Drosophila melanogaster: one gene and its partner. The protein of the gene in region 1 interacts with the protein of each later gene in a pairwise test. Each region holds a gene or a part of one and is shown on either strand. Other genes may lie near its edges.

Evidence for each region.
Region 2: the proteins of obst-A (region 1) and vsg interact in a two-hybrid assay, tested with the Drosophila melanogaster proteins (one large-scale study listed by BioGRID).

What each region holds. Positions count from the first base shown.
Region 1 is NC_004354.4:20,231,392-20,247,130, reverse strand, and holds obst-A (obstructor-A), read right to left. Parts: upstream 7,277-15,739; 5' UTR 7,154-7,276; coding exon 7,105-7,153; intron 6,070-7,104; coding exon 5,866-6,069; intron 5,521-5,865; coding exon 5,317-5,520; intron 5,247-5,316; coding exon 4,990-5,246; 3' UTR 3,922-4,989; downstream 1-3,921. Other genes in the region: Peritrophin-A (peritrophin A), read right to left, coding at 11-226, 2,197-2,248; sw (short wing), read left to right, coding at 11,468-11,622, 11,697-11,843, 12,229-12,356, 12,741-12,803, 13,688-13,708, 14,967-15,014.
Region 2 is NT_037436.4:9,706,338-9,722,238, reverse strand, and holds vsg (visgun), read right to left. Parts: upstream 7,916-15,901; 5' UTR 7,689-7,915; coding exon 7,616-7,688; intron 6,496-7,615; coding exon 6,017-6,495; coding exon of another isoform or gene 5,777-6,016; 3' UTR 4,523-5,776; downstream 1-4,522. Other genes in the region: nbs, read left to right, coding at 1-21, 79-1,613, 1,674-1,754; CG14174 (uncharacterized protein), read right to left, coding at 1,792-2,753, 2,818-2,899; CG18178 (uncharacterized protein), read left to right, coding at 3,256-4,380; SH3PX1 (SH3 and PX domain containing 1), read left to right, coding at 8,554-9,306, 10,087-10,739, 11,220-11,511; CG16711 (uncharacterized protein), read right to left, coding at 13,638-13,701, 13,771-15,901.

The DNA of each region.
Region 1 (15,739 bases):
TGCTACTCACGATCCCACTGGCGGCCCTTGCAGTCCACCGCCCAGTTGTAGTTGCAGTGGTTGTGCACCGCGCCCTTGCCATCGAAGAGCAGTCCGTTCTCGCAGGTCTCCAGGGTCAGGGTGCCGTTGGTGCAGAGGAAGAACTGGTCGCAGTTCTCCGTGTGGGCGTACGCCTGCACGCCGTACTTCTCGGGGCACTCCGGGGATCCCACGGCCAGGGCATGTCCTGTAAATCGGACAGATGGCAATTGTGATAGTTGTGATAGTAGAACTATTTTTTTATGTTTGTAATCTATATATTGTACATATATCAGCCGTACAAGGAAGGTAATACGTACAATACAACAAACTCACTAAATGCATCACCTATTTCCCTATCCTTGAATTCATCAAAAAATTGTACTTATTTGCGCTGCACTTACAAGAGCTAGACCATTACATTCGCTTGTTTTTTTTTTCAGTGTAGAAGTGCTATAGGCACTTGCAAACGTAGCGATTGAACCGATGATTGTTTGAATCACTGTTGACCACTGTTCCCACCATTGTCAAACCCGAACCACAGTGGCGTCCACTTCCTTCCTGTCCGCCAATCGGCCTCCCCCTCCTCCTCCTCCACCGCCTCCGCCTCCGCCTTTTCACCTGCCCAACTGGTTTTGATGCAAGTGCAAGTGACGCCACAATCGCGACCACGACACTTTCGCGCATCTTCGCACCGCGTCTAGCAGCGATTCGAATCGCTTTGGAAATGGAAATGGAAATGGAGATGTGGCGATGGAGCTTTGGAGCTGGTGTGATGTAAGCCCGAAACGCCGATGCCATCGAGATCGGGCAACAGGTTGATGGTTGACTGTTGACTGCTGTCGTTGGTTAATGGGTAATGGTTAATGGCTAATGGCTAGTGACTAGTGGCTGACTAGCGAACTAACTGCTGTCTGCCTGCCTGTCTGCGCACAATTTTCTCGAAGTCGCCAACCGAAAACCAAAGGCAAACACGCAGCTAAATTGAAATCTGTGAAGATTTCCGGTATTTAAGTCAATAAGTTATGGATTAAATGTCATCGCTGCCTGATTCTTTTGTTCCTTATCTCAGAGGTTCAACTTGCTCCGATCATATTGCTCTATGATTTCAGCTTGCTATCTTATAGAAATCTTTGGAAACTTTAAGTACTCCATTGACCACAATGACCACCATGTTCATGTTCAACTAATAGAGATTTATAGGAGCATTGATGGTACTGCTTAAGGATCATGGTGGTGAATGAAGTGTTGAAGTTGTTGGTAGTTGGGAAACAGTCCTCTTGTGACACAAACGACATTGATGGCTTTTCGAAAAACGGGTGGCGATTAATTAGATATATCTATGGCGATAATCCGATGCGATCCGATGTGATCTATGCAACTACCTTTCTTATGGGCCGGTTGGAAACTGGTTGCCTTGGTTAACCCAGAACTAGATCGTATAATGCGAACGATATCGTACCTAATTGTCAACTGGTTTGACGGGCCCAAGTTCTACTTTTGTCAGGGTTTGGCATTTGTTTTATTTAGTTCATTAGCTTGCCGGATCGACTGGCCGATTTAAGATGTCTTACGTCTGATGTCTATATGCTATTATATGATATGATACATGTGTACATACATATGTACATATGCATGCCCAGTACCAAGATCGCTGCAGTGAGTCAGTGGTGGAAACAAAAGCAAAAGTGATCGGCCGCATGATCTGCATGCCAAATCAGCCATGGTTATATGGCTATAGGGTACGGAGCAGTATAGATGTGGCTATAGATCGGCGGGCTCTACGATTAAGTGGAGCAGCAGCCTTCGGCTCGAGAAACCAGTAATTAAAATACATTTAGACTGGAGCTCGATTCGATTCGATTCGATTCGTTTTGATTCTAGAGGCGAGAACAAAAGAGCAGACCGTTAGATTCGAAGGGGCACTGCGATATATAGACGTTCGTACATAAATTATATACATATATCGCATTTGGACACTCCACGCGATTGCAGTGGAATTTTTGAAAGTAAAAGCTCCGTTTTCGAGGCGCAAACACGCGAGTAATTGAAAGGTTGTGCTAATTGCGAGCGGGAGTGGCAATCGTTTCATCGAATCGCTATCCCAAGGCCCTCTAGAGCATTATGTTTTGGTACTGGTAATACTTGCAATAGCAGCCATAGTTGTTGCACACTTACCACAGGCAATCCAGGCCAGGATCAGGACGCTGCACACTTGGAATCGCTGCATGTTTGGTGCCTGACATATAAAAACACATATGCGATATAAACAAATTATTTATGAATTAGGCGGAAATGCATGGGTGGTATTAAGTAGTGAAAAAGCACAAGCAAGGCACACACACGCACCGTAAAAAAAATATATATATATTCAAATGCGCGCAAAAAGTGGAATGGAGAAACTTGAAACTTCCGCTCCAAGATTGTACGTTTTAACGGTTACGCGTTCCAAACTCAACTGAAAAGATTTGTACCGCGCTCCAAGAAGAAGAAGAAGAAGCGGCCGAGCTGCGACTGCGCAGCGTTGACTCGCCAGCAAAGCCAAAGAGCCAAAAAAAAAACAAAAAAACAAAAAAAAGGCAAAATACAGTAGAAACGTGGTCGAAAAACCGAACATAACTGAAACCAAACCGAATCAAAAACAAAAAACCACACAAACGACACCACAGTTTTGCAAAACTTCGCTTTTTTCGTTTTTTTTTTCGATACCGCTTTGCCTTTGATTTTTTTTTTGGGGGCGGCAAAGGTGGGCGGTGGGTGGTGCTGTGTGTTGTCACAGCTGGCATTGTTGTTGCATTGTTGCATTGTTGCATTGTTGCTGGCTGGTGTTTAATGCAAAACGGGATTTGGGATTGCCAGTGCTGCCAATCCATCCAGATTCCAGCCACATCTTACGCTCTTAATTGCACATAACAGCCGCAATTTGGGAATATATGTTTGATACCAAACCATATACCAAATGTTATATCGCTCGAATCCATTTTCTCGCCACATCTTCCCAACTTGAGAGCCTATAACAGACGGAATTTATGGGATTTATTTTCGATCTGAGGACTTACAGTTCGGTGGTATTCGGAATACAAAGTTTCATATCAATCGCATCCCATTGCAGAAATCTCTAGTGCTTCTACATCTCTTATAATGTTGTATGCAATGAAGAATAAACTTCTATAGTACAGCGAAATGAAGAATAAACTTCTATAGTACAGCGAAATGTACTTTAGCTTCTACTGATTCCCAGTTGCAAGATTGTCGAGCTATGGCGAATTCAGCTGAAATTTAGGTTATCCACAAACAGTGGAAACACTGCATAAAATCAGATAAAACTTAGAACGCTATCTAAAAGGATGCATCCAGCATCCACGCTGTGCACAAGGTCGCTTTCGCTCCACACTGCCAATGATTTAGCTAGTTTCCTAGCTAGTTCGGGTCCATTTCCTGGCTTGAAAAAGAAAAACACGCCAAGGCGGAAATCGAGCTTCTCTGGCAACATGTGTGATTGAAAGTAAAAGGCAAAGCTCGCGCAGACCATAAGCTTCATTCATGATTGGGCCCCGTTTGCCGATTGCCGTTACATTGTTAACTATTGCAAAACTTTTGCTTTTGCTTTGCTTTGCTCGTGCTGCGGCGATTGCATAAGCACTCTTGCCTGCTTTTTGTGTTCATTTACATGTGTAAATGTGCGGTCCGCTTGGCCACTCGGCCAATTAAAGACTCTTTGCAACCGATGGAGGGACAAAGGGCTATGATGGATAATGGATGCACCGATCCCGCCCGTCCACGGCGATTATCCGATATTGCGTGTGGAGTGAAAGGTTTGATTGATTGGTCAATCGACCACTCAACCCCCCCCCCCCCCCCTCCCTTTTTTTGCTATTTCCCCACGAGATGCACACTAGTTTTGTATAGATTCGAAATACATAGTTTTTTTTAATTCGAGAAAGATCGGAGAATGGGAAGTGAGTTTGGGTGTCATGGGTTTACAGTCGGTTGAATGATTACTTAAATAAGGTACGTGAAAATTTCTTATCGTTTGGATTTTGCAGGCAAGTCAAGATGTTTATTAATAAATAACATATAGCATAGTCTAAAAGAGTATTTATACAGTAGGTATAATCGAAATACAAGGAAATATTTATGAGGAAGATAGAATGTATAGAAAAGATTTAGATTTGAAACTTGAGGTAGAAGTGAAATACAAGATTACAGGATTGAAATGCTTAAAAAAGGAGCATTTTAGGAATAATAAACTGTAGCGTAACAGTTCGCAAAACAATAAAACACGAACTAAATTGAAATTTTAAAGATAGAAAGAAAGAAATCAAGAAAAGAGAACGGAAAAGATTCAAGTTTGAAAATTTTAGGAGGACAAAAGTTTGTAAAGAGTGGGTTTCCTTATAGACAGAAAATTGGTTTTGGAATATGATAAGAAGTTAAGTAGAGTAACGTAGAGATGAGGGAAATTGAAATTTTAGGCGAAGATCACATAGGATAGCTGAAACAGTATATGGAATAGTAGTAGTCTTGGGATTGGGAAGATAGTTTATAGTAGATAGATAGATATAGATAGTTTATAAAAAATTCAGTTTATTCTTTTTGTATAATAATAAGGCGAAAGTCTGAAAGCGGGAAATATATACACAACAATTTGGCAGCGTTTGGTTGGGCACAGAAATGGAGATTTGGGTAGTTAGAAAAGTAGTTAGAAGTAGTCAGATATAGAGAAAGATAGTTAAGAAATAGATAGGTCAGAGTATTGAAGTTTAACTGCTACACATACGCTCTATAGGAAATGGGCTAGAACTACTAAATTTAAGTGACTAAGACGCGAATCTGTGTGTTGATTTGTTTCGAATTGTTTCGATTTGATTTGATTGATAATTTCTTTCAGTGTGCTTGTGTGTGCGTGTGCATGTGCATGAGTTGTGAGTGTGGATGTGATGAGGAGAAGTAGAAGCGACCGGAAGTGGCTTAGTCCTTCTTGTCGTCCACATCCTTGTACCAGTCCTCGCAGCCGGGCACATTCTCGGGAGCATCGCACATCTCGGTGGCATCGTTGTAGACCTCGCCCAGCTGGCAGCCCAGATCCCTGGGATCCTCGCCGTTCAGGCACACGTAGAACTTCTGGCAGTCGGTGGGATGCGGATACTTGGGGTGGGTCACCACCTGGCCGCGATCGTCGGTCTTTGGCTGATCCTTGGGGCACACGAAGCCGGTCTCGGAGGTTCCTGAAAGTACACACCACATGCCAGACCATTAGCCCACTCCGCCGCACGGCGACTCAATCGGTCCACTTACTCTGCTCCGGATTGCAGCCCTCGCGCTTAGCGGTATCCGGCCACACGCAGGTGCCCGAGTACTCGTCGAAGTGGAGGCCGACGGTGCACTTGGTCTCCAGGGCGTCGCCTTCGATGCAGTTGTAGAAGATGTTGCACACGGCGGGATCGGGATGCGCGAAGAAGCCGTTCTTGCGCGGGCAGTACTTGCTGGACTTCGGCTCCTCTGTGAAGGGGAAACCGAACAGGGTTAGTTCCTCCGTCTACCAAAGGAGCTACACAACTACATAACTTTTGGATAGCTCATTGTAGTGGTGTATTTGCTTTAAATATAGAGATGTCCAAAAGTATGCTACAAATTCATCCTTTCAACTGATGCTTTCATTAGTAAGCTAAATTTGAACTTAAGAGGCGAATTTAAATTTAACTCCCTACATAGTTAATGGTGATGTAATGATGTAATTGGAATAACCTGTTTAGCGCTCTGCCTTGACATAGTTTTCGTGACCATTCCCAAGGGGTCGGTAACAATAGCCTAGAAATAGAAATGGTGATGGGATGGGCTACTTACGGAGCTCAGTGCGGTCCTCGCAGTCCACATTGAAGGGCTGGTCGCACTTGTTGAACTTGCGGTTGAGTGGATCGAAGACCAGGCCATCGGGACAGAGCTTCGCCTTGGCCACTCCGTCGTCGCAGACGTAGAACTTGTCGCACTGCACCTCATCGGCGAACTGGCCATTGGGCTTCGGGCACTCGAAGTTGGCGGCGGACACGGCTGGTGTTGGGGTAAAACAAAGGAAAGAAACAAGCACTTCAGTCAACTGGTTTTCCCACTTTCACTTTCCTGGCGACCCCCAGTCGCACTCGAAAGTGTAACAGATCGAACGACGTTCGATTACCGATGGCAATTCCGCATTTGCGGTTTCCTGGTTGCCACCACTCCCGGTGGCCCAAGAAATGATCAGTGGTTTTCCATTGGAACAGGTTGCTATCGCTTGATACATTTGACCAGAATCCCACTGACTTCGGTAAGCTAGATATAGGTTAGTACTATTTACTCAACCAATGTGAAATCTCTTACTTGGGCGCCTAAAGGATAGCTATAAAAAATGTATACAATGCGAAAATCACTGCATACTTCTATACACCTTTGCATTCGCTATGCTGACAATATCTTCTACAACCGAAATTGGGAATTCAAACTACGCGAATTCTTTGGATTTCCGTAACACACCGGTAAGTGATTCGAAATGTCGAAATTTAAATGTCAGAGAAGGCTTCATACTCAGCATAATGCCAAGATTACGACGTTCGGTCCGGGTTCAATGCACTTCTCTTGCGGCCCAGAAGAGCCGTTTTCCACTTGGCCAACAAACTGCATGAGTTGCATAACCCCAGCGGCCCAGACAGCCAGACAGCATCTTGGGCTTGGCCAGCATTCCAGTTTTTCCAGACGGAAAACGGCCCTCCATCTCGATCTGCATGTGGCCTGTAGATCCGCAATCGCGACCAGATTCAACATTTGCGTCTGAGGCCCAGTCTTGCGAGACGGCTAAATATGATTAGCTACTTATGGCTCTTAGCTCTTAGCTACTTAGCTACTTAGCTGGCCAAAACACACAGCGGCAGCAGATCGAGATCGAGTCTTGATTTCGGTGTCAGTGTCAAAGTAATTAGCAACAATTTGCGACTCTGACTTGGCGGATGGGCTGGCACTGGCCAGTCAGTCGTCAGTCACTTGAACTGGGCACCACTGATCCATTGAACGATCCATTGATCCATTCCCACGGATCCATTGATTCACACTCACTTGTCGCCACACACAGGGTCACAGCAATGGCACATAAAAATAACTTCATTTTGGACTCGGGGTCTGAGAAAAAAAAAGCAGAGCAACGATCCTGGCAACTGGATACTTGAGCAACTAATCGCGACTCAAGCGCTGCGATGGTTAAACTAAACTAACAACGGAACGCCAAAGAGGCGCACTTTTCAAGACTTTTTACCGGCTCTGCTCGACGTCGCCGACGACGCGACGACGCCGTCGGCTGCGGCAGAGTGATGCCAATGGGCGGGGCCACTACCGCCCCCGCCACTGCCACTGCCACTACCATCACCACCACCACCACCACCACTACTACTACTACTACCACACGAAACCGAGCCAGGCCAAACGAGCTGCGGCTGGAGCTGGACTGGATATGGGAATGGAATGGAGCCGGGGCTCCAAAGGCGACGAAGAAAGGCGAGCCAGAGATGTAATGGCACAAAAACAAGAAAGTCCAGGGGCGAGGACCGGAAAACCGCTGGCCAGATGCCCTAGCTTAATGTGCACCACGCGAATTCTTCAGGCCGCGCATTGATCAACTGTGTTGAAGGCGTCACCTGTATCAGATGACTTGGAGATTACATCGAAATCTTGGAAGAATTAGGAAATGCTTCTATGTATTTGTAAGCGAACTCTTAAGAATACTCAAAGGCTATTAAAAAAAAAGAAAAACAATGTTATTTATCGTATAATTACAGTTTTAATGCCGCAAATTCTTTAGTGATCTTGATCTGCAGAGCCATCTAGCGGTCATTTATGCAGGTAGAGAAGATGTTAAATTGATTTCCATTAGCGTTTCAATTCAATTGTTTCGCTTAAAAATAAAATTATATGCTAAAAATGGGTGGTTCTTAGGCATATAGAGTAATAAATAGTTGACCCTGTGCAAAAATACAAAATTCCAGCTTGTAAGCCATCTGGTCAGCTGCACATTTCCGGGTATTGACCGTCAAATAACCAAATGCGATCGAGCGACCGATGGATGCGGTTCGAGTAGGGTATGCGTTCCCTGCGATCAGTGTGTCGATGTGACCAAAAAAGCAACACACACACACACACGAAAATGAACGTAAATAAATTCATATGCGTCAACGATCCCCGAATTCAGTTGGCTCGAATTGAGTTGGCCGGGTTGATGGTCCGCATGCAAATGGCTTACATCGATCGACCAAAAGGCCAGCCAAACAGGTACCATCCATTTGGCGACGAGTTGGAGTTGGAAGACCGTCCTTTCGTCCAAAGTGCCAGCCAAAAATTGAGACTTCAAGGCTGAAGAGGACACGCCATGGGCGTAGTTTCGGTCTGGATCTGTATCTTTAAATTATACTATATATACATTGCATATATGCAGACGGACGGATGAAAGACTTGGTAATGAGTAACACACCCAATTAGTTGGAAGGTAATGTCTTAAACGCCACTCCCGCAAATCAAAAATTTAGCATTATTACTTTTGGTAAAATAAGGTAAGATAATATACATTATATATGTATAATTGAAATAAGAGCACATTTTTATAAACTATCATTTAGAAATATTAAAATATGATGAAATTAACAAGAGCAAGTACTAATGTAATAAATGTATCTTACAAATTGAATGTTGTATATCTATTAGAAACATGGTGATCCATAGGAATCCAATGAAATGCCTGATACAATATAGAATTTCTAGTTTTGCCTGCTTGGGAACTGGTCTACAGGTGATTGGTGGGGGAGGGGAGGGGGGGGGGTTGGTTTGGTGTAGCCATTTCCGAGGAGCTACGCCCATGGGATGGAAAACTGTGTCATCCCGATGCTTCCAGCGGCCAAGCGGCGGAGCATGCCGGTAATATATGTACATAATATATGCATAAATATGCTAAGCGGCCACGCAATGACCCAAAAGCCGCTGTCCTTGGGAGATGCGATCGATCCGCTCCGATCGGAGTAGGAAAGAAATAAAAAATAATGAAAATATAATCAGCTATCGGAGATCGGAGATGCGGCCAAACCAGACGGGCTGGGAAACTAGTTTAGGTTGGCGGCGTGTAGTGGCTAATTAACAATACACTTTTACTCTCGCCCGATCCCATGTGGAAACCAGGTGGAGGTGGTTCTTGGAAGCCCGGCCAGACGTCTAAATCTGAAATTCAATTGGCAAATTAATTTGTAAACTAATCGCGCTGGCATCTCGACTTCGGTGCGACAGGTTTGGCCTGGCAATTAGCGCGGGGAAAAAGCGAAGATATTAAGTATCCGCTCATCGGTTTGCCAACTCCCGCCCATGTGCAAGATTTGTCGGCCTGGAGCAAAAAGTTGAGCAGTCGAAGATTTGGCAATTCAAGGTTTTTACTGCAGCATGGGGGATCATCGGAGCGATTCCAGTTCGAGTCCGGTTTATCAATGCGGTTACGAAACGAGCAACTCGGACTACAGTTTTTGGGTCGTCGAATGCTGGCATTTAAATTCAGATGTGCAGATGTGCAGATGCGCCAAATCGAATCGAAATAAAATCCCCAAAAGTTTCATGGGCGCTTTAACCCCATGAAAACCTCTTCCTTGGCACTTTGGATACGGTATCTTTCAGATACTTTCAGATACTTTCGGATACATTCAGATACGACCGAAGGCACGTACTACTGTTGGATTCGCTTTGCGCCCCGCGTTGCAGCAACATCTGGCATTGGTGGCACAAATTATGGCATACATTGTGGAAAGACACATCGCCTAAGTGCGCTTTCTATTTCCACGGCGGGTTCTGGTGATTTCACTGGCCCAAAGACGCGCATTGAATGTAATTGGCACTTTGGAGGGGCAATTAAAACACGACATATCTACATACATATGTACATACGTATGTATGTACATACTTTCAGAACCCTGAACGTATTTTGTAAGCTCAGTAGTTTTGAGTCACTATGGGAATTTCAGCGGTATTGGTAATTTTTTACAAGAATAGTCTTGCTTACCTTTCTTAATTAATTAATTTTTACATTTTGTAGTACTTCACACTCAGCATTTTAATCAAACAAATGCACAGGTTGTGGGCATTAATTTTAGCTGAATTTTAGACCTAAAAGGATTATTTAATTTTGTATGCATATGGGACATCAGTGTATTATCATTAAGGTACTGTGTATCAATTCGAATTTACCTACAGATACCTCTCTTGAATCTATAAATTAAAAGTTACGCTTCAGAAAGCAACACTGATATTTCATAGTGCATGTGTGTGAGTGTGCAAAACTTTTTTATGATAACTGTAAGCCACCTATAACATAACAATTTTAAAATGCGGCATATCTCTGTATTAACATACTTTTTACCTATTATTAATTATGGTAATATAATTATATATTAATCTAATATATTTATAATTAATATTAATAATTAATAATTAATAATTAATAATATATAATATAATATATATATATATATATATATATATATATTCAGTTTGAAGCTCTATTTAAGCATGATTTGTAGATTTCTTCCATAAATAAATATAAATATTAATAAATATAAAGTGTGTTGCAGTGTATGTGAAATGTAACTGTAACTAACAGCGTTCTGCTAAACGCAGTAGTGCTGCCAGATCGCTGCGCTAGTGCATGGAAAGACTGGAACTATCGCTGTCACGACAGCTGTTCACAGCTATCGCCGTACAGTAGTAAAATCTTATTCTTGTGTTTAAACTTGTGTTAATTAAGAATTCGGAATCCCGCTAAGAATCCTAGTCTTCCACACCCTTTGGGCATCTATGTAAACCAGCCGCGCCCATTATCTCCTTCGTGTGCCAATAACTGTGCGAAGTAACTGGCCGTGGGCGATGTTCCATCTCTAGTTAGTCAAAACATTAAAAGTCAGTCGCATTTTTACATTGTTGAAAAATGATGATTTAAGTACTTAAAAAGCAGCCGAACAACGAGTAAAGACAGTCAAGAGGTGGGTTTTTGTGCATTTCATGGAAAAATCACAAGAGCAGTGAGAGAAGGAAGTTGAAAAACGCAGCCAGGGCGAAAAGACGTCACAGTCCAATCGCTGGATTATTGATTTTTTTTTTTTGGCCGAGCAAAGGAAAGTAAAGTGACGGCCACTCACTGGGTTACCGGGAAATGTGCTCCACTTGGCGATAGGAGAACATATGAGTTGGCTGCGCCACGCCAAGCGAGCGGTGGAGAACCACACAGCGCACCCACTTTCTTTGCTTCTGGCCAGCAGTTGGTGACATCATCAAAGCTACCAATATTGGCGACCATTAATCATGCATCCCCCTTGCAGAGAACTTGGCCCGCCAGAGATCTAGAGTCCCGTACCGAACGCCCACTCGAACAGCAAATCGCAGCAGCTAATCGCCCCGAGAAATGGATCGCAAGGCTGAGCTGGAACGCAAGAAGGCCAAGTTGGCCGCCCTGCGCGAGGAGAAGGATCGCCGGCGTCGCGAGAAGGAGATCAAGGACATGGAGGAGGCGGCCGGTCGCATTGGCGGCGGAGCAGGCATCGACAAGGATCAGCGCAAGTGGGTTTGCCATAAGCTTCTCCTCAGAGCTGACTCAGCACCGCCATCATCCAACTTTCGTTCGCCTCTTTCAGGGATCTCGACGAAATGCTGTCATCGCTGGGCGTGGCCCCCGTCTCCGAGGTCCTTTCCTCACTCTCCTCCGTCAACTCGATGACTTCGGACAACTCGAACACACAGACCCCCGACGCCAGCCTCCAAGCCACTGTCAATGGCCAGAGGTAAGCCAGTTCATAGCAAAAGCTTTGTGAGTAGAATTACCATCTTAAGCAGAAGTTCGCAGGGCATATTAGACATATTCAGGTCATATAGGTATAGACATTTGATTCCCTAAGTTTTTTTTGCTAAACAACTGTAGAGACAGATTCCCCATCTACAAGCTTAACATAAAAAAATATCAGTAGTCAAAATTGGAATCCTGGTTAGAGAGCGTGGCAATTTTTACAATTCAATTTTAGCATTAGCCGTTTTAAAAATTAGTATTACACAGATTAGACAATGGGCTTAGTACTGATTAAGTTTTAACGATCAATGTATTGTACTATTGCTATTGCCATTTAACCGATTCCTAACTAATACCAATTTCTTATGTGCACCCCCCACCAGCGGCGGAAAGAAACAGCCCCTCAACCTAAGCGTCTACAATGTGCAGGCTACGAACATTCCACCAAAAGAGACACTGGTCTACACAAAGCAGACCCAGACGACCAGTACCGGAGGCGGAAACGGCGATGGTGCGTATTGCCCCCGGGGCGGGGATCTGGTTGGGCTCTACCGTAACCACTATCCATAGTTTGACTCCATCTCTCGCTACTGTTACCGTTCTTATTCTTGGTCTCGTTGTTAAATGTGTTTGGCTTCCCTGCTGTTTCCCAGACTCCGTCACCGTCCGCCGGAGGAGCAGTGTATCTATCTGTCCCTCTCACTCTCTCTGTCCATGTCTGTGCTCCAAACTCTCCCTTTCTGTCTGGTGCTAGCTTACACCGCTGCATGCTGACCCTGTTTCCGCGCTTTGTTCCCCATCAAGTGCCCCCAACTCCCGTCCCTCCCAGCAGAGAAAAAAAACAAAGATGCAAACAGAAACCATAATCCATAGTGAAATAAAATAACAAATACAGTTCTTTCTTGCCACTCCTCGCCTCTGTCAGGATATATGGAGGACTGGTGGCGTCCACGTAAAGGTACTAATCTTAATTTTAAGCAAACTCCACACCTAATCACACATCAGCACACGAAAGTTATTGTGACAAAACGAAGCGGCATACACATGTGAATACACGAAGAGCTCCATGTGAAGCGCCCACACGACTTAGTCTAAATTTGCTGTAAGGCTCTGCAGGCAGAAGGATGTCAGCATCGTACATGCGTAGACAATTCGGTGGACTATCTACTTAACTGCTTGAATTTAGACAGCTTCCTTTTGCTTTGCCTCGGCCCAATTTGGTTGCAATGCCCAAGAAACGTAGTTTCTGGTCGATTGATCATCTTATGACAGATTTCTCTTGATTTGGTCAATCCGCATTATTGGTTTTTGGTTCCTTCAGTGCTCTCAATTTAGCCCATCTATCCCAGCAATTGTTTTTGTTAGTTTATTTTATAAATGTTCGAAACTGGAAAAGCTCAGACACGATTTCAAAAACCATTCGTCACTATTTTGTATACTATGCAATATTCAGCACACTATCTGAACACTTCAATCCGAACTTTTAAAAATATAGGTTGTAAATGGTACTGCAACGCAATGTGTCATGTTTATCCCCTCTTTAAACACGCCTTTTTATAATTATTACTTTAATTTTTGTCGCGTTTTTGTAAAGGTTATTGGTAGCACTAAGCATTACACCAATTGGCCTTGTTTCGCTTCATTAACGCCGCAGTCTCGACTCATTTCCGCATGGCCACCGCTGTCCAGCATCAATCTTTCCATCCACATCCATCCATGTCCACATCCGAACCCATAGATCATTAGAGTGTAAACCGTTCGAGCGCATTTAATAATTTGTCTATTTACTTTCTCTTTCTTCCCTCTTAACTGTTTTTGGCACGCACGAAAAAAAAACTGCAGCTCATGCTACGGATTATTATGGTGAGTAGTCCTCGTTGTATGCGTAATTCCGTACTTAGAACTTTTCAGCCTCCGTAGCGGTCTGTGTGCCACTCGTAAGAAGCGTATCTATACCCGTAGTCCTATATATTACCATTACCTTGAAACCTCTCTATGCTGAACTTCTCTATATACTCACATTATGTATTTGTGTAGTTTGCTCAATATCTATCCACAACACGATCTATGCTCCTTAGAGTTTTTCTGACTTGCTTAGTGTACGCTTGATATGGTAATCCTATCCTAGAATATATATATGCCCTATGTCCTAGCTTCTCGTAGTTGCTTCTTCGATCTTTGTTTCCGATTTGGTCCTTTGATTTGCATCCCAATTGGGACTATATACATATATTTATTACATTTTATATGATTTATATGACATTTGTTTCAATTAGCTCGATAACTACCTGAAAAAAGATTCGTATCAGTTCGTATCAGATCTTAGAGACCTTGTGTGAAAATCGTTCATTGAATGGAAAATGAAAAACAAATTTGTAATCTCCACCCAATTTTTAAGTTCTTTATTCGTTTAAGTACTTTTCGTAATCGCTTTAAGTTGAGTTTTAACATAATTTTTTTTTTTGTAATTTTTTGTCTTAATTTATGTATGACCCATTATAAGTATTGAGGGTTCTTCTAAAACATGCATACCAATGGTATAATTTAGATTTTTTGTACTTTTTAGCATAACCGATCTATTACTTAAATATTTGAATTCGATTTATTTTCCCAAGAGTATTTTTAAGTCTATGCTACTGTCTAAGAATCAAATGCATAACCCAAACATACACACGTATAAAAGAATCTTCATTTGTAAGCACGAATAGCCTTTATCTTAATATCGTTTGTATGATTGCGTATCAGATATATTAGCTAAACATCCTAAGTTGTATTATAAACACTTTCTCCTCCCCTCGCTACCTTTTGTGTTCCATCATATGAGCCTGGCTTGTGTGCTAATAGTACTTATACATATACCCTATTTAGTCATATTTTACATATTCGTGTAATAATTTCGCCAAGCAACAAGTGTTGAGCACACTAAAAACCAACATTTTTCACTTCTTACCGTATGCATTTTGTTTAAACATTGACTATCGATTTGTCGATTTAAATGGGCGGTATGCTAAAGCCAAAGTCATGTTTTTTTTTTTTTTTTGCGTTTTGATTTGAAGAATCACAAACTACCAAATACCAGCAATGTTTGTACAATATATTTATTTCTTTATATTTCTTCAAGATGAATACAATCTTAATCCGGGTTTAGAGTGGGAGGATGAATTCACAGGTAGGTACAGGCCAGCCGCCCAAACCAAAATATTGAACAGTGACGGAATCGACATGAAGCAAAATAGGAACGTTCAAATTCTCACTTTGCCAGCGAAACGAAATCAGAATTCAGAGCATCACAAATCACAGAAAAGCCAACGCGTTTAAAATCGGTCCAGTGAGGTGTCAGTGTTGGAAAGCGAATTAAAAAGCGGACACACACGCGCCCTCACAAAACTGAAAATAACGGACCAGTGCCCTTTCTCGCTCTATCTCTCTCCCTCTCTCTCTTAATATCTTTCCGACTCTTTCGCTCCTTCATCTCTGCTTGTGTGCATCCTACATTTGCATGACTGGCGATGCTACTGTATTGCCCGCCCATCATTGTGTGTAGTGTTGCTAATCCCAGTCATTCATCCTGAAACCCGAGATAACAATGTCCTAACCACTAACAAAAACTTATCGCACAAGAAAACAACGAAAACGCAGCAGCGACAGGAAGCTAGGCTTGCTCCATTTCACTCACTCTTATGCAAACTCGGCAGCGAGCGACTTCTTGCCTGTCTCTCTCTCTGTCTCTCTCGCTCTCTCAGCTATTGATCCCGATTACCGATACCATCTTCAATTACAGCACTGTTACAGAATCGAAATCGATCAATCGGTCGTTAACTTAACCTTGTTTAATATATGTGTAATATATTTCTAGCATAAAACTAAATAATTTTAAGTGCAAGCAATTATAAA
Region 2 (15,901 bases), on another chromosome or scaffold:
TCAATAGTATACAAGATAGGTGTAAATATATTGCTCACATCACAGCGTTTAAGTATTATTATGTATTATAATTTTTAGATATTTTGGAACAGAATGGTCGACGTATTATCCAGGAGTACGAGATTGGCATGGCCCTAATACATTGCTCTATAACAGAATTCTGCAACCCAACGCACAAGTTCATCTCCGATTCATTGCCCACCACGGAGTCTGTAACTTCCTCGATGGCCTTTAACTCTTCGATCATTGTGCCCAACACGGAACGCCACTCGGCGCAATCCAATGCCACGCCCATTTCCGAACTGGTGGTGCCTGAGTCAATTGAATGTGAAATGGAACAAGATGCTTCTAAGCCCCATTCGGAGGACCAAGCTTCTTTGCGTAAGCGGAGTCATGCCTCAACAGTTGACTCCTCGGACGAGGAGAAGAAATCAACATTGTCTAAGCGAGCTAAATCGGATATCGCTACGAAACTGACCATGAAATCAAAGAATGCCATATTGTTGGACTCGTCTTTGGAAGAAGATGTGACACCAGCTCCGGCGCCTGCTCCAGTTCAACGAGTAACAAGGCAGAGCAAAGCCATCGCTGAGGAGAAATCCGTACATCCACCTGTTCCAGCTGCGAGTAAGCACATAACACGGAAGACCAAACAGGTTTTTTGTGTTGACTCATCGGATGAGGAGAACGAAAATGCTCGGAAACCAAAAGAAACGCCAGCTCCAACTATCCCTTCGATGGCCAAGAAGAAAACGGAAGCACCCGTTGCCACCAGGATTTCACCACGACTCAATGGGAAATCATTGGCCACAAATATTACCAACCAACCGGCTGACAAACATGCAGTGCCTGCAAAACGTCCTGTTTTATCGGTGGCCTCGAGTGACGAAGAAGATGAAGGGGACCTATTTCAATTCCGTAAATCTCCACAGAAGCCAGCAGAGACTGTGGTTCAGCCAAGAATCGCAGGCAAAGGCAATGCACCTGCCAGAATCAGTGTAGTCGACTTTCTAGAGAAATCACAGGCACAAGAACCAGCTCCAGTGCCACCCCAATTGGAGTCCCAATCCCAGACACAACCGCGCAAGCGTTTACGCCTTGAGCTGCTAAACGAAAGCGACAGCGATGATTGTGATAATCTTTTTAACTTTGCAGACAGCAAAAAGAAACGAAAGACGCAAGAGGCTCAGAGAAATGATGACTCCACGGATGGCTTGTTTAACTTCAACTCTGAAAGACCGTCTGATCATGATGACGAGGATTCCCGGTTAACCGAACCATTTGTACCCGAAACGGAAAGCAAGAAGCAATCCAAGTACATAGTGGCACCGCGTAGAGATAGACCCAAGAAAGTGGACATCAGTGGTTGGTTATCGTGTAGCAGGCTAAACGATAATATCAAATCCGAAATAGATGCAGACTCAGTTAAGATGGAAACCTCTATTAAGGCGGATCCCGATGAGGAGCAATGGCTGGCCGCCATGAAAGACAGCATTGAGGTGCGCATGTGCAACTTAAACATTGTCATTCGCTCCCAGGAGGAAGTGGATGCTTCTCTTGAGGATTCTGTGAACAAGCATGGCGGCCGCAAGAACTTTAAGAAGTTTGTAAAGGTGAGTCTCGAATTAATAACAAATATTAAAACGACTTATTTATTTGTGTACCTCTGTTAGACCAAAAATCCTCATCCCCAAAAGCGAATTGTTGCGCTTAAGAGTCTTCGGCTGGCTGATGGTATGGTAACCTGTGTTTAATGTCGTGCCTAAACGTAATTAACCGTCGCTTGTGAAGTTACTTTATTTTGCTAACAATAAACTTGCGAAATATGTTCAACGCCTTTTCCGGCTCCTTGGACAACTTGCGATTGAACATCGTCTGTGCGGCCAGCCACTCGTGCTTGGCTATCTTTCTGGTAAAACAACTTTCTGGAGGAGGATTCAGTTTCCTGGCCTGCGACTCGCGTTCAATGAACTTCTGTGCATCCGCCACCGTGGCCAGAACGTTTTCATTGAATGTGGGTTTCTTTGTATCTTGAACGGGTGTTTCCTTCCTGGCAATTATGGTGCCCACATCAGATTTGGCCAACAGTTTGGCTTTTTCTACTTTGGTGACGACTTTTTTCGGTATCAGGACAATGTCTGGTGTTTCGTCTTTCTGCGTTTGGTTATTAGTTCTCGTTGGAGGTTCTAATCTGGCAGGAAGCTCTTGATTCTCCGCCAGAAACTTGTGCTTCTCCACCTGCGGAAAGTTAGCAATCTGGGGGCGCAGTTTGTTGTAAAGTATGGCACTTTTGCCGGCCTGCAAGGAGCTCAGTTTGCTAATCTTGGCAATGGCAGCGATTAGCAGCGTGGTGAAGTCCATGAAGAAGTTGTTGCGCAGGAGTTGAGTGAAGTATGCGGCTGCACTGAGGCAGCATTCCCTGATCCGCTCGTGCAGATGATAAAAACCCAGGAGACGCACCAAAATAAACTCAAAGCTGCTTCGCGTGGGCATGGCTCCGCCCAAATCTTCATCGCACACATCCGGCAGCACACCGCGAAAGTTTTTCAGATCCCTGGCCAAATCCAAGCGCAGCAGGCGGCACAGTGCCGCATTAAGTTTGCAGACGGAACGAAATCCCGGCATATTGCGGAAGGAGTTCTTCCGGCGAGCCATTAGTCGTCCAATCATCGCCGCCGTCTCCTCGAAATCCTTGGCATCCGGTTCGGACAACTGTTGCAGGAACCTGTTGATGACCACGAACACATTTTTTGCTGTTTGGAAGGAGAGATCCCTTGATTTTGTGATTGTTTCAGATGGCCAAGGGTAACAACATACCGAAACCCGTGTCCTTCACCAGCAGCGTCACCAACGGAGGTTGTTTCAATTTAAAGTCATTCCAAAAGAATTCATTTTCCATTTTCGTGTTGTGGTTTGAAAATTCTAAATAAAAGAAACTGTCCGTCAGAGCTGTTTGTTTTTTTATAGCTAGATTTGTTGTATCGGAATTAGCCGAAGTCCACAGCGCCAATACAAAGTATCGGTATATATTTAAACCATATATAGGCTATGCATCTTAATTCTATAAAAAATTTATACATTCATTAAATATTTTCTAATATATACACTTTCGGTTAGATTTTGGTAAGCAGATTGTCATCACTAATTCTAGCTTTGATTAGTCGGCCTTTAGTTTTTTGTTAAGATCTGGTCACACCGCCGTTTACACGTGCAAGTTGAATTCGAAAAGAAAACATTTTAATTTTCCGGTAAAACATGAAGAAAAAGCAGGTGGAAAGTGCATCCGAGGAGGAGGAAGTGCAGTCCGAAAACTCCGAGGCTTCCGACGAGGAGGAGCTACAGGCAGAGGACTCCGACGAGGACCAGCTGCAGGCGGACGACTCCGAAGACGAAGATTCCGATGGATCCGAACTGGATCTGGACGCCAGTGACACCGAATCCGATGAAGATGATGGTGAGGAGGAAGATACAATCAAACCGCAGCCCAAAAGCCGTGCCGAGATTATCGACGAGAAGATCCACACCAAGTACGAGCAGTTAAAGGGCACCCGGCTGTATGTCCGGTTTCCCCAAAAACTGCCCCTGGACTTGGATGAATTCAATGCCAAGGTGAAGGCTCTGCATCCACTGGTTCTGAAGTCCACAAAGCCTCGCCAGAAGCATGCACGTTTCTGCCTCGTCGATTTCAAGTCGAAGGAAGATCGCGATCAAGCCTTTAAGGATATCAAGGCTTCGATCGAAAAGGATGACAAGCACAAGGGCTTATTCGTATCACTGCCTAAGACGGATTCCGATGATTTTGTCAACGAGCTGGTGACCCGCAAGCAGACATCCATCGTAAACAAACGTACCAAGGCCCTGATGAAGCGTGCTACTAAGAAGGTCCTCACCAAGGGTAACTTCACCTCGTCCGTGGTCATTACCAATCTGCCAAAGACCAGTTCGTTGCCCCAGGTGCGCCAGCTGTTCCACGACCAGGCAGTGGACATTCAAATACGACCGGGCAAGGGTAAATTCCGGGACTACAGCACGGCGACCGTAACCCTGCCAACGACCCACGATGCACGCAAGGCCATCAAGGAGAAGCTCAGCCTGGCTGGCACGCCACTTATATTGCGCTTCAACACTCAGAACAAGCGGAGCTCTAAAAATAAGCTCAAGCGAAAGGCCGAGAAAGGGAAATCCCCAGAGAAGAATCCACTGAGTACGAAACAAAACGATAAGAAGTCCAAGTCGGAAAAAGGAGAAGCACCTAAAATTAAGAAACCAGAAGTAAATACTAAGCACCAGCCGAAGGAAAACCTTAAGAGAAAGTCGCCCAAGGAGAAAACACCTAATATTAAGACACCCAAGAAGTTAAAGAAACTAACCGCAGAATAGAGTGTAGTTAATGTTTGATAATTTAAATAAAATTCCCCCCTTTTGATTGACCATTAATTAGGTGTAAAAAACCAATATGCGAAACGTGTTTCAATCGTAAATTCTGGTTTACAGTGGTTGCTAGTACAGTAAGAATGCAGTTAAATTTTTAAAATATTTATTATCGTACACGATATACAGACATAGATATATATATATAAATATATATATTATTAGTAAGCCGGCTGAGTGATTTACTGGATATACATTGATTGGTTACTTTAGCTTATATACTTATTAGATTTTCATGTGCAACAGAGTTTTCGTTCATTTGCGTAAACTTGACGGGCTTATGTGATCGATTTGTAGCTTCAAATGTGTATTAATCCAACAGCAAGCGCGGTATGGTTAGGTAAACGTAATTCATATGTATAGTTTCCATTCTAGTACAAAATATTCAACATTTGCGTGTATGCATTAACATGGGGCTTTCATCGAATCTCGAATCAAAATCTACTTCAGCAGTATACAAACATGTGTACATTTGTTTATATCGCATATAAACGCATATCAACCGTGCACGGCAATCCGTAAATCCTGTTGCTGTGCATCGTTAGTAGCTATATTGATTTTTTGCAATACTACGGACCCCGGGAATGGCGGGGTGAGCAGAATCGATAGAACAAGTGGGCAAAGACCGGAGAAAAAATGCACATTAAATGAGAAAATTGAAACGCGTTTCCCATTGTGTTTAGCTCGGTTTTAGGTAGTACATATGTATTCTTAGTTCCTAGAATGAATCGATTTTAGTTATTCAAAAATTGTGTAAATATAATAAAAATTTATATTTCCTTTTCGTAGCTCCCTATGAATTACAGAAACAAAGCCGTCGCCAGCCGCTTTCCACTTTCTGATCTCTTCACTTTCTCGCTATCAAGCAGTCTCACATATTTGCTGTTATTTGTTCTTACTCCTCTCGTCTCGTTTCGTTTCGATCTCATAACTCATTTCTCGGTTCATGGTCGCCCTGGGAAGACCCTGTGACAGGCTCCCCGGACTCCTCTTATATAAGGCGTTGAACATCCGCTCAAGTTGCTGATAAACTGATGTTTGCAAAAAACCGTACCCTTACATATTGAATGCAATGCATTAAAGGAAAAATATTTACTTTGTTTTTACATTTTCTGTATGACTGAGATAAGGGAAGTAATTCAAGAATGTAGAGCCTGCTCCTACTATCTGGGCCCGTATTAAATCCGCTCAGGGGGTTATCGTTTCAATTTAAGAACTGACTTTACTTGACTGCCGTTTGTATCTCTGTGTGTGTGTGTGTGTTTTGTTGGGGAATCGGGGTATAGGGGCATCTCTTTGGATATTAATTATATTGGGTAATATGGTGTGGCTCCCCGCTTTTAAATTACGTGTGCAGCAACCGATCTCGGGCCGACGGCGAGCAGTTTTGTGGAGCTGCAGCCGCACCACCACCACTGCCACCCATGTGGGTGGGTGGTGGTGGTGGCGGCTGCGTTGGCGGCGACCTTAGCGGTATCGAAGGCTGGACAAACCGCACGCGCTCCGCATCCGTGGATGCGGCACTGCTGCTGGCCGCCGCAGCTCCGGCTGCCGCATTGAAGGCCGACGTAAAGGCGGTGGCGGCTCAAAGGGTGTGGTAGTTGCGCTCGTTGCGGGCCTTGTAGAACTTGTAGGCCACTAAGCCGATAGCGAGCAGGCCCAGAGTCAGCACAATGCCGCCAATGAACGAGGATCCATCGAAATGACCGCACGGCACGGGCTTCGGCGCCGGAGTGGTTGATGTGTGTGGCGGCGGCGTAGTTGTGGTCGAGTTCGGAGACGGAGTGGTCGTAGATGTAGTTCCAGGCGTGGTGGTGGTCGTTGCCGGAGTGGTGCTGCTGGTGGTGCTGGCCGGAGTGGTGCTGCTGGTGGTGCTGGCTGGAGTAGTGGAAGTTGTGGTCTTCTCAGTCGATGTGGTAATTGGTGGCGTCGTCGTGGTCTTTTCAGTTGTGGTGCTCGTGGTTGAGGTCGACGGTGGCGTCACAGTAGTGGTGGTGTCCGGCGGAGTGGTGGTGTTCTTGGATTCCTGGGTGGTGGTGTCCGCTGGAGCCGGTGTGGTCACTGCTAAGGCAAATAAAAAGAGTTTATAAATATTAGCTTATGATAAGTTCGTAAAACTATTTCACATCAGATAGACTCAAGTGTAGTAAATATTATAGTAATGAACCCAATGTGTGGTTTTTTTTAATCAACCCTTTTTGATACGTTCATATTTCTTATTTCAGAATGAATACATCGTAAAAAAATAATTTTAAGTAAGAACAGCGCCTATCATAGCTTCAAAAAAACAGGGCTTGTGTGCAGTAATCAGCAACGAATATTATAGATAAAAACTTATGCGTCACTCCAAAGTTAAAAGCAAATAAATTGGTAAGCATGATAAGTTCACAACGACTCTTATTGATCGATTTCCAATATTTCAAAAAGCACAACGAATACACATGTTTTGTAAGAATTGAAAATAAAAATAGTTCCATTGCACATGTAAATGATGTCAAAATTGTCAAACAAAATAGAAAAACGTAACAAAACAAATTGATTTGGTTCGGAAAATAAAGATTACTATATTCAAAATAGGCAGCATTTAGGTGATATTTATTTGTATGCAATAATGGAATTTAAGGAATGGAAATTTAAGAAAGCTGAAAAAGTAAACATTAAATTGTTTGTCAACAAAATATGGTCAAAATCTCTTTAAATCCTAAAATATGTACAAATATTTTCGTATGGTAATTAGGACGTGACGATTTAAATAAATGCTTGCGAACAAAATATGGTTACAGCTCGGTAAATACATATTTACCAAATGTCCACAAATATTAACGTATGGTAATGTGACAATTTACGGACTTTCGTAAATTCCAAGTTTCTTTTGGAAAGCTGTAGATTTGCAGTTCTTATGCGGAGAACATTCCCCCAAAGTCGGAGTAAGAGAAAATGGCCGGAGAATTGATATTCAATATAGGAATTGGCATTTAAAAAACCCCCACATCCACACACACGCACATTCATGCACACACACACCCACATGCCCGCACGGCGCACACACGCGAGGGGTTTGCGCACACGTACGCATGCACATGCAAGCGTGTGTGTGTGTGTGTCCGAGTGCATAATTGAGAAATGAGTGTTCGGCGTGTCTTCAATTCGATTTTAATTCGGTGTAATTTGATCAAAGACTCACCTTCTTCGCACAAATTCGCGGAGAAGAGGCCCACAAAGAGGCACAAGATTAGGAATTTCGCCTGCCGATTCATTGTGGTCGTTAAACGCTGAGTACTCGAACGACAAAGTCAGCAAATCTGCAAGGCAAAGAAAATACGTTTGCGAAGTGGTTGGGGATTAACAGATACCGCTGGAGTCAGTATTGCACAACTGGCGATGTCGCCGAGCTCCGATTTCGCTCACCCACAAATTAAAGCAAGGCGCAATTAAGGAATGAATAACACGACACGAAGACCAGATTCTTTTATGCCAACTCGATACTTCGATGCATCCCGATACATCGACAGCTGAGCCGTGCTCTGCAGCCCTGGCACTCGGCGCTTATCAGTAGGGGGAGACCGTAATGTAGTTGAAACGCCTCGCATTTGGTGCAATATAAAATTATGATCATAAATTTGTCCTTATATTTTACTTGATTTATTACTATAAAATTGTATACCCACCTAGCAATTTATTTGAAATATTTGTAGGTTAAATCTATATAAACATAAGTAATTTTTCACAGCTAAATCTTTCTTGATAACGCAATAACTCATTAATTTAATTTGATCGACTTAAATGTACCATTTATATTATTTTATTTTAGTGAGTATATAGTAGTAGTACAGTATAAATATGAAGTTTTTATAATTATTTATCAAATTAGAGAGTGCCTCTGTTCCAAGTGTAGAATTCAGGTGTGTTGGGGGAATACCCCTAATAAAATTGCTGTATCATCATTATATCTTGTTGCTGCAGAGCGAAGAAGACGTCAGTGTCAGTTTAATTCCGTAATCCAAGAAACGGTAACACTTCACACTTGGTGATTCAGAATTAGTAGATATTTCTTGTCTGTTTATGGCCCCTGTGAAGACAGGACTCGAATTAGCGTAAAGGAACGACCAGGAGAGCACCAAGATGACCTCGTACGTGCGTGCCATGTACGACTTTACCGGGGAGCCGGGCTCCTCGGAGCTCTCCATCGCGACTGGCGACGTGCTCTCGGTGACCCGGAGCGATGTGGGTGAAGGCTGGTGGGAGGGCAAGAATGCCCGTGGCCAGATTGGCCTCTTCCCGGCTGCGTACGTGGAGGTGATGTCGGCGGCCGAAGCCCAGAAGCTGAGCGCCAGTGGAGCGACGTCGGTGCCACAGGTTCCGGATCCCTTCGCCTCGCCCCCTTTGCCGCGTTACGATCAGACGGCGGATGATGATGGCAGCAACTGGGATGATGAGGACGATTGGAGCGACGACAATGACACGTACTCGGAAATTGGTCCAGGTGGCCAGAAGTCTGCGGGACAGTCGGCTCGCGCTGGCGGATTGTCGCATTCCACCAGTGACTACGATAACAAACACCTGCCCATCGCGCCCAACGATGATACCCAATCACTGGCCTCCGTGGCTGGTGGGACTGGTGCTGCTGGCACCGTCAAAAAGGGCATGTTCGCCAAAAGTTCCGATTCATATATACTCGGCTTGTCCAGCACCAAGGAGAAGATACCCGAATGCGAGATGGCCTACATTACACAGGTGGAGGACTCGATCTACCAGTGGACGCAGAACCATTCGCCCTACTCCGTTGTGGTGGCCAGTCCCAAAAAGGAGTCCAAATTCAAGGGGATGAAGACGTTCATTGCCTACCAACTGACGCCTAGCTTCAACAACATATCCGTAAGTTGGCCAACCCTGATATCGCCGTGATTAACAACACAATACGATAAAGCTCCGACCGTTGGCGCATGAGTGTGTAACTACGGGTGCAATATTTTGTTGATAATATGTGTCTGTGCTGTGTTCGCTACCCTCTGCCAAGGGTAATTTGGGCTGGTTCATGTGCTCACGAGCAGATGGAATGGAATAAAGAAAGACCAATCCTTTGTTTATCGAAACTCCGCACTAATTGCCGGCCAACATTTTCCAACTGAGTTGACCTTAAAAGTGACCCTTTTTTGCTGAGAAAATTTAAATGGAGATCATATCCATTTCTTTAATTGGTTTGTTTTATTAAGACTCTGAAAATTGGCTAAATTTATCTTTTTATTTGTTAAAGTTTTAATACTATTCAAAGCTATAGTTCATTTCTTATTAGCTACTTAAATAGTATTTTGATAATTTCGATCAACTTTATTCATTACAATAATGAGAAGCATAAATGCTCGACATTACTTTCGAACTGAAATCAAAGCTCTTTGTAAAGTTCTTTCAGTCCATTAAAATACACATACAAATAGGTAGAGCATTACAGAGTCGTAAAAGCACTTAAAATTCTTCTTTGTGGGGGCAATTCTGACCAACTGGTAGCCAGCGGCACTGCGATGATTGCTTGTGCTTGCGAACCGCCACGGGGAATGACTCAGCAACGAGCTCTGACCCCCCGAGCTCCGGGCTCCTCTTTGCGTGACCCAATCACAATTAATTGGTCATATCTAATCTGGGTTTCCCTTTCGTTAGGTGTCACGTCGCTACAAGCACTTCGACTGGCTGCACGAACGTTTGGTGGACAAGTTTTGCCTGATTCCGGTGCCACCGCTGCCGGACAAGCAGATCTCCGGCCGCTATGAGGAGCAATTCGTGGAGCATCGACGTGTGCAGCTGCAGGAGTTCGTCGACTGGGTGTGCCGCCATCCGGTGATCTCCAAATGCGAGGTCTGGTACCATTTCCTCACTTGCCGCGACGAGAAGATCTGGAAGTCGGGCAAACGCAAGGCGGAACGGGATCCCTACATGGGCGTCAACTACTGCCTGGCCATCTCGCCGCCGGACAAGAACCTGCTGCACTCTAAGGTGGACGCACAGGTGGAGCTGGGCACCCAGTTCATACACAGCATGGACGTGGCAGTACGCAACCTGAACAATATATCCAACGACATGGCCAAGCGCTCCATGTCGCAGAGTAAAAAGGAGTTCCAGCGCATTGGCGACGGACTCTCCGACCTGGCCAAGGCATTGGCCATCGATGAGCGGCGTGCGCCCACCCGAAACGCGGTTCCGCTCTCCGAGAGCGTCGGCCGCATCGGTGGCATCTTTATCGGTATTGGACAGGCCTTTGGCGACCAGCCAAAGCATGATTGGATTCCCCTCTCGGATCGACTTCACATCTACAGGTGGGTTGACGTCTCTATAAGTGATGGGAAGCATAGCACATTTCGTTTCATTCATCAGTAATTGATTAGCTGACTGAAAATGGGAATTCCACGACATGTGTCATTTCTATACTAGAAGTTACAATAGGCACATACATATATGGCTGAATTACTCACAATTAAAAATTTTCGATAGATTACTTTCTTGTAAATTGTTTTTAAGGTATCAAGTTTATTTATAAAGAACTCAAATTGTTTACTTTTAAGCAATGAATCAATGTATAGTTTCGCGAGAAAAATCGATTGTTGGCCAATAGTTTATTTTAGATTATTGTGGTTCTTACGCTGACTGACCTTTAGTTTAACAAGAAATATATACATAGATATACATATGTATAATATATATATAACTTCTAGAGAATGTGGTAACTTTCCGTCGCTATTTGTTTATAGAACGATCTAGAAGCATTATCTAATTCTTACTTTCACTTTTCCAAATAGGGGCGTTCTCAACTGCTTTCCGGACATCTTCTCCACGCACAAGGGTGCCATACAGAAGCGAAAGGACTGCGAGAAATTGGCCGGCGAGGGCAGGATGAATAATCCCCAGTTGCACGACGTTAACCGGCGCACAGATGTCGTCTCCTACACGGTGCTGGCCGAGCTGACCCACTTCAAGAGCGAGCGGGATACGCATTTGAAGCATACGCTTAAGAATTTCATTGCCGAACAGATTAAGTTTTACCAGGGCGTGGTGGCGCGCCTGCAGGAGGCCAGCCGTCAGATTGAGTAGATTGGCCCTTGGCCCATGGCGACGACGACTCATCGCTGAAGAGATCGACGGCTGGGAGCACAAAGAAACCGCACCGGGCACACACTTCCACACAGAGATACATAGCTGAAAACATTCGCACGCGCGCATTTCAAATGCCTTCGAAAGGAACTCTTACTTTAAGCGTGGTTCTAACTAAATGTTAAACAGAAAAAATATTACATAATGTTGTTTGTAAGTGAAAAGTTGCGTATTTATACAGAAATTAACTTTTATATGCCTATTATACACTGAACTTGAGATGCAAATATAACTATATTTATACAGAACCACTTGTGCAAGTGCATCATCTGCATCATAATCATCATATTTGGATGATCCAACCAAACCCGCTGAATTAAAAGTCTCGGTGGCGATTTGCTATTCTGTTGCCTTTATCAGCGAAATTCTCTAAAAGGGTTCTCTTTATTTTTCCATTTTCATGTTCATGCTTTTGCTTTGCCATTTTCGCGTTAATAAGTTTTGTGATTCTTGTGTTTGTTTGGTTTTTTTGTTTTTTTTTTTTGTATCTAGAACATAAGTGTTAGATTGCACATGTTAGGGATGATGATTTCATAAATAATCAGCGTAATAACTAGTAAAAACAAAAAGAAACACATTTCGGAATGGATACAAAATCGGTTGTTTGCCTTTTAGCGCTGCGCTTTGTTTTCGTTTGATTTTTGGCGAGGTCATAGGTGAAGGTGAAGGGTCCAAGGATTGTCCTGGCATTTTTGGAGGATAGTCGGATGTGGGTTTCCAGGGATGGGAATCGGGTTGTGGGGGGATCACTAAGTGTAATACATCTAGATAAAAACGCTATATACAGACACACGAGTTAATAATAATAATAATAATATAACGCAGCTTGAGATAATAATAATAATAATAGATTTTGGTTAACAATAATACAATAATTAGGTTTTTTTTTGCTTTTGCCTTCCGCTTTCGCGCTCTACATTATTTTTTGTTTACTTGTCGTGTTTTTTTTTTGTTTTTTCCTCTTTGTTTTCTTTTCATATTTTTTGTGTTTTTCTTTTTTGTTAACAAACTACCAATAACAAATTTTTACTAATTCAATTTAAGTTTTTTTTTATGTTTACTGCTCTCTGCTTGTGTTTACCACCTTGTTTGTTGTTTATAAATTATTGTTGTTTGCGTTCCGGTTACCTTGTTGTTGCTGTTCCTGTGTATTAAACTAAAGGAAAATCATGGTTTATCCTTTACCAATTCCTGGCGGTAAAACGGCCTATACGATGCCTCTAAATATATAGTTATTATTACACGCAAGTGTTACATATGCCTATATGTTTATGTTTATGCGCTAAAGTGTCTTGCGCTTCGGTTAGCTGAACCGTGAACCCACCGGACGACTCCTAGCCGTAGTCACCGCCGAAGCGTCCGTGCTTATTGCTACCGTTACTGCTCTGGACCGCTGCAGCCGCCGCCGCCGCTTGGGCAGCCTTCTCCGCCAGCAGCGCCGCCTTCTGTTGCATGTAGGGATTGAAGTGTTGCATGTACATGGAGGCAGCGGCTGCCGCCGCATAGTTGTTGGCATAATTGTTGCTCCTTTGGTTGCTGCTGCCGTTGTTGGCGCTCCATTGATGCTGCTGCTGCTGCTGCTGGAGCTGCTTCTGTTGCTGTTGCTGCTGTTGGTGTTGCTGTTGTTGGTGTTGCTGCTGCTGCTGATGTTGCTGCTGTTGATGTTGCTGCTGCTGTTGTTGTTGATGCTGCTGCTGCTGCTGCTGTTGGTGGTGATGTTGCTGGTGCTGTTGCCAGTAGCTCTGCTCCGCCATATAATTGCCGGCATCGCTATCCTTTTGATAAAGATATGAATTCAGCAGGGATTCGCGTGCGGCGGCAGCGGCCGCCATCTGATTGTTCTGGAACATATTCTCCATGGCCGCTGCCGTTGGATAACAAAATTTATTGCTACTATTGTTGCTGTGGTTTTGATTGTTGGCTGCTGGAAGTTGTGGTTGCTGTTGCTGCTGTTGCTTGGCCGAGGCGTGATAGTTGCTGTAGTCCTGCTGCTGATGCTGCTCCTCATAGCTGGCCGTCCTTGTTCCCGATCCAGGTGCTGGCTCCTTTTGAGCCCGGCTTGACTGTCATTCACCTGATGCCGTCACCGTGGTCCACTGCCATGGACTATTGTAGCCTTGTTTGGGATTGCTGAAAGGGAACGGATGTGGATTAATTTGAACAGATGGGAAAGATGATTAGGTTAGGAACATCACTCACCTTCCGAAGAGAGGATGCCACAGTGCCGAGTTGGCATCCATGCCGGCTGCTGCCGCCGCATCTGCAAGATTTTGCTGGTGCTGTTGCTGCTGCACGTCCTGGGCGAGCATATTGCCCCGCTTGCGCTGCTGCTGTGCGGCGGCGGCTGGGTGCATTTGCTGCTTGGCCTGCTCGAGGGGATTATAGGTGACGCAGGCTTTACTGGAGCGTAGTGTGCGTCCCGTACCTGCGTCACCCTTGGCCTGATCTGGAACGGCCTTGTGCATGGAGGGACGCCCTCGCATTCCGTCAAAGGGCACATTGAGAAGTGGAACCACGTTAGCCTCCGGTTCCAGCAGATTCGAGAGGGATTTAATGGTCAGTCTGGGTTTGTGCTCCGCAGGAGCTGGTGCCGGAGGCGCAGCGGTGGCCACCGGCACAGGCGCAGCGGCGGCTGGTGGTGGAGCAGCTGTTGTAGTTGGAGCACCGGATGAAGGCTTGGATTTGGTGAAATTGCTAATGGACTCCGTTTCTGTATCCCTTCTGGGTCGCTTGTGCTCCTGATGATGATGATGATTTGAGGTGGCAGCTGCCGATGATGTGGATGATGCCTCCTTGGCCGCCTCCCAGTTGAGGAACTGTGGCAATTGCGGCTGCAGCAGCTTTTGCATGAGAGCCAGCTCTACGGGATTGGTGAAGCCATTAAAGGAATTTGGTCCGCTGGCTGTACTTTGAGGAAGAGGTGGAGGCGGAGCTGCTGCAGGAGGCGGCACGGGAGTGGTAACCTTGGGCTGTGGCTGCTCTTCCGTCGACTTTTGTTTCATACAATGCTTGTACAGCTCGTCCAGATGCTGCAATCCAAATTGGTTGTTGTACAGCGGCAGGAGATTGCTCATAAACTTTCTTTGTAGTCCCAGCGGATCTTTGATCGTTTTGAAGAACTCCTGCGACAACTGGCCAAAATATGGTAGCCACAGCATCTGTTGGAGTAGCGCCAGTGTGGTTGCATTCAGATCCGTGGAGAGACTGGAATCTGCCGGAGATGGTGGTGTTGGTGCCACTGGGGCAACTGCAGGCGGTTTGGGTTGAACAGGCACAGGTTTGGGTTGTATCTGCTTGGGACTGGGACTTCTCGCTTTGCTTGGCACCACGATCACTGGATCCGGGTCTTTTGTCACCTTGGCCGCATGCTCCGATTCCGTTTTGAGGATGGCCTCCAACTGCTCCATGGTCACTACCAGAATGTTCGGATTCTGGATGATCTCCGGATAGGCAAAGGCCTCGGGAAGACGCAACTCCGGCCTGGTTGTCAGCAGCAATGGAATCTCTCGGGCCGGTGAGGCTAAAACTGCTCCGAGGCGATCCTTTGGCACGAGTATGGGGTCTGGGACCTTCCACTGCGGATTGCTGATCAGCATTTTCAGTTGGGTAAGTGGATCCGGATCCTTGTCCATCTTAATGCTGGCCTTGGGTCGCTTCTTCAGCGGCTGGCTGGAATCCTCCTCCTCCTCGTCGTCGATAACGACCGTTTCGAGTTTGCCATCGCGGCCAGCTTTGCCCAGATCCATGGGCTCTGCCTGTTGGGGATTGTTGTTAAGCTTGAGGAACTGCTCCAGGATGAGATTTTTAATGGTTTCCGACGTCGTCTCCACCTCAGCAGGTATGGAGTTGGCCGGCAGCTGGAGTTCCCGCTCCGGTGACTTGAGTATATCCGAACTTGAGGTCACCGCACATTGACTACGCGATTCTGATGGTGGGCAGACCTCCTCGCGTTTCTTGTAGCTCAAATCCTTGGGCGTCTCCTCGACTACGACGGATTTTTCCATTTCCTTTTCAGGCGTTGGTGTCGGCGTAGGCGTTTGGGTCATTTCCACAGTGGCTGGAGTGGGCGGTTGTGGTTCCGGCTCGGTGGCCACAGCTTCATGCTGCTTCTCGAACGCCTCGATGCCCAGGAAGAGCTCTCCGTTCAGGCCCTCGATCTCACCCGCCTCATTGAAGGACAGACACTTGGGCGCATCGTCGTTGTCCATGTTGAGTATGCGGGGCAGGTCCTTGTCGAGATCGGGTACACAAAACGAGCTCAGTCCGTCGCCGGAGGCTGAGGAGTTCGGCGGATTGGTTCCGTTGCCAGGGCGCGTCTCCTGGACGAGAT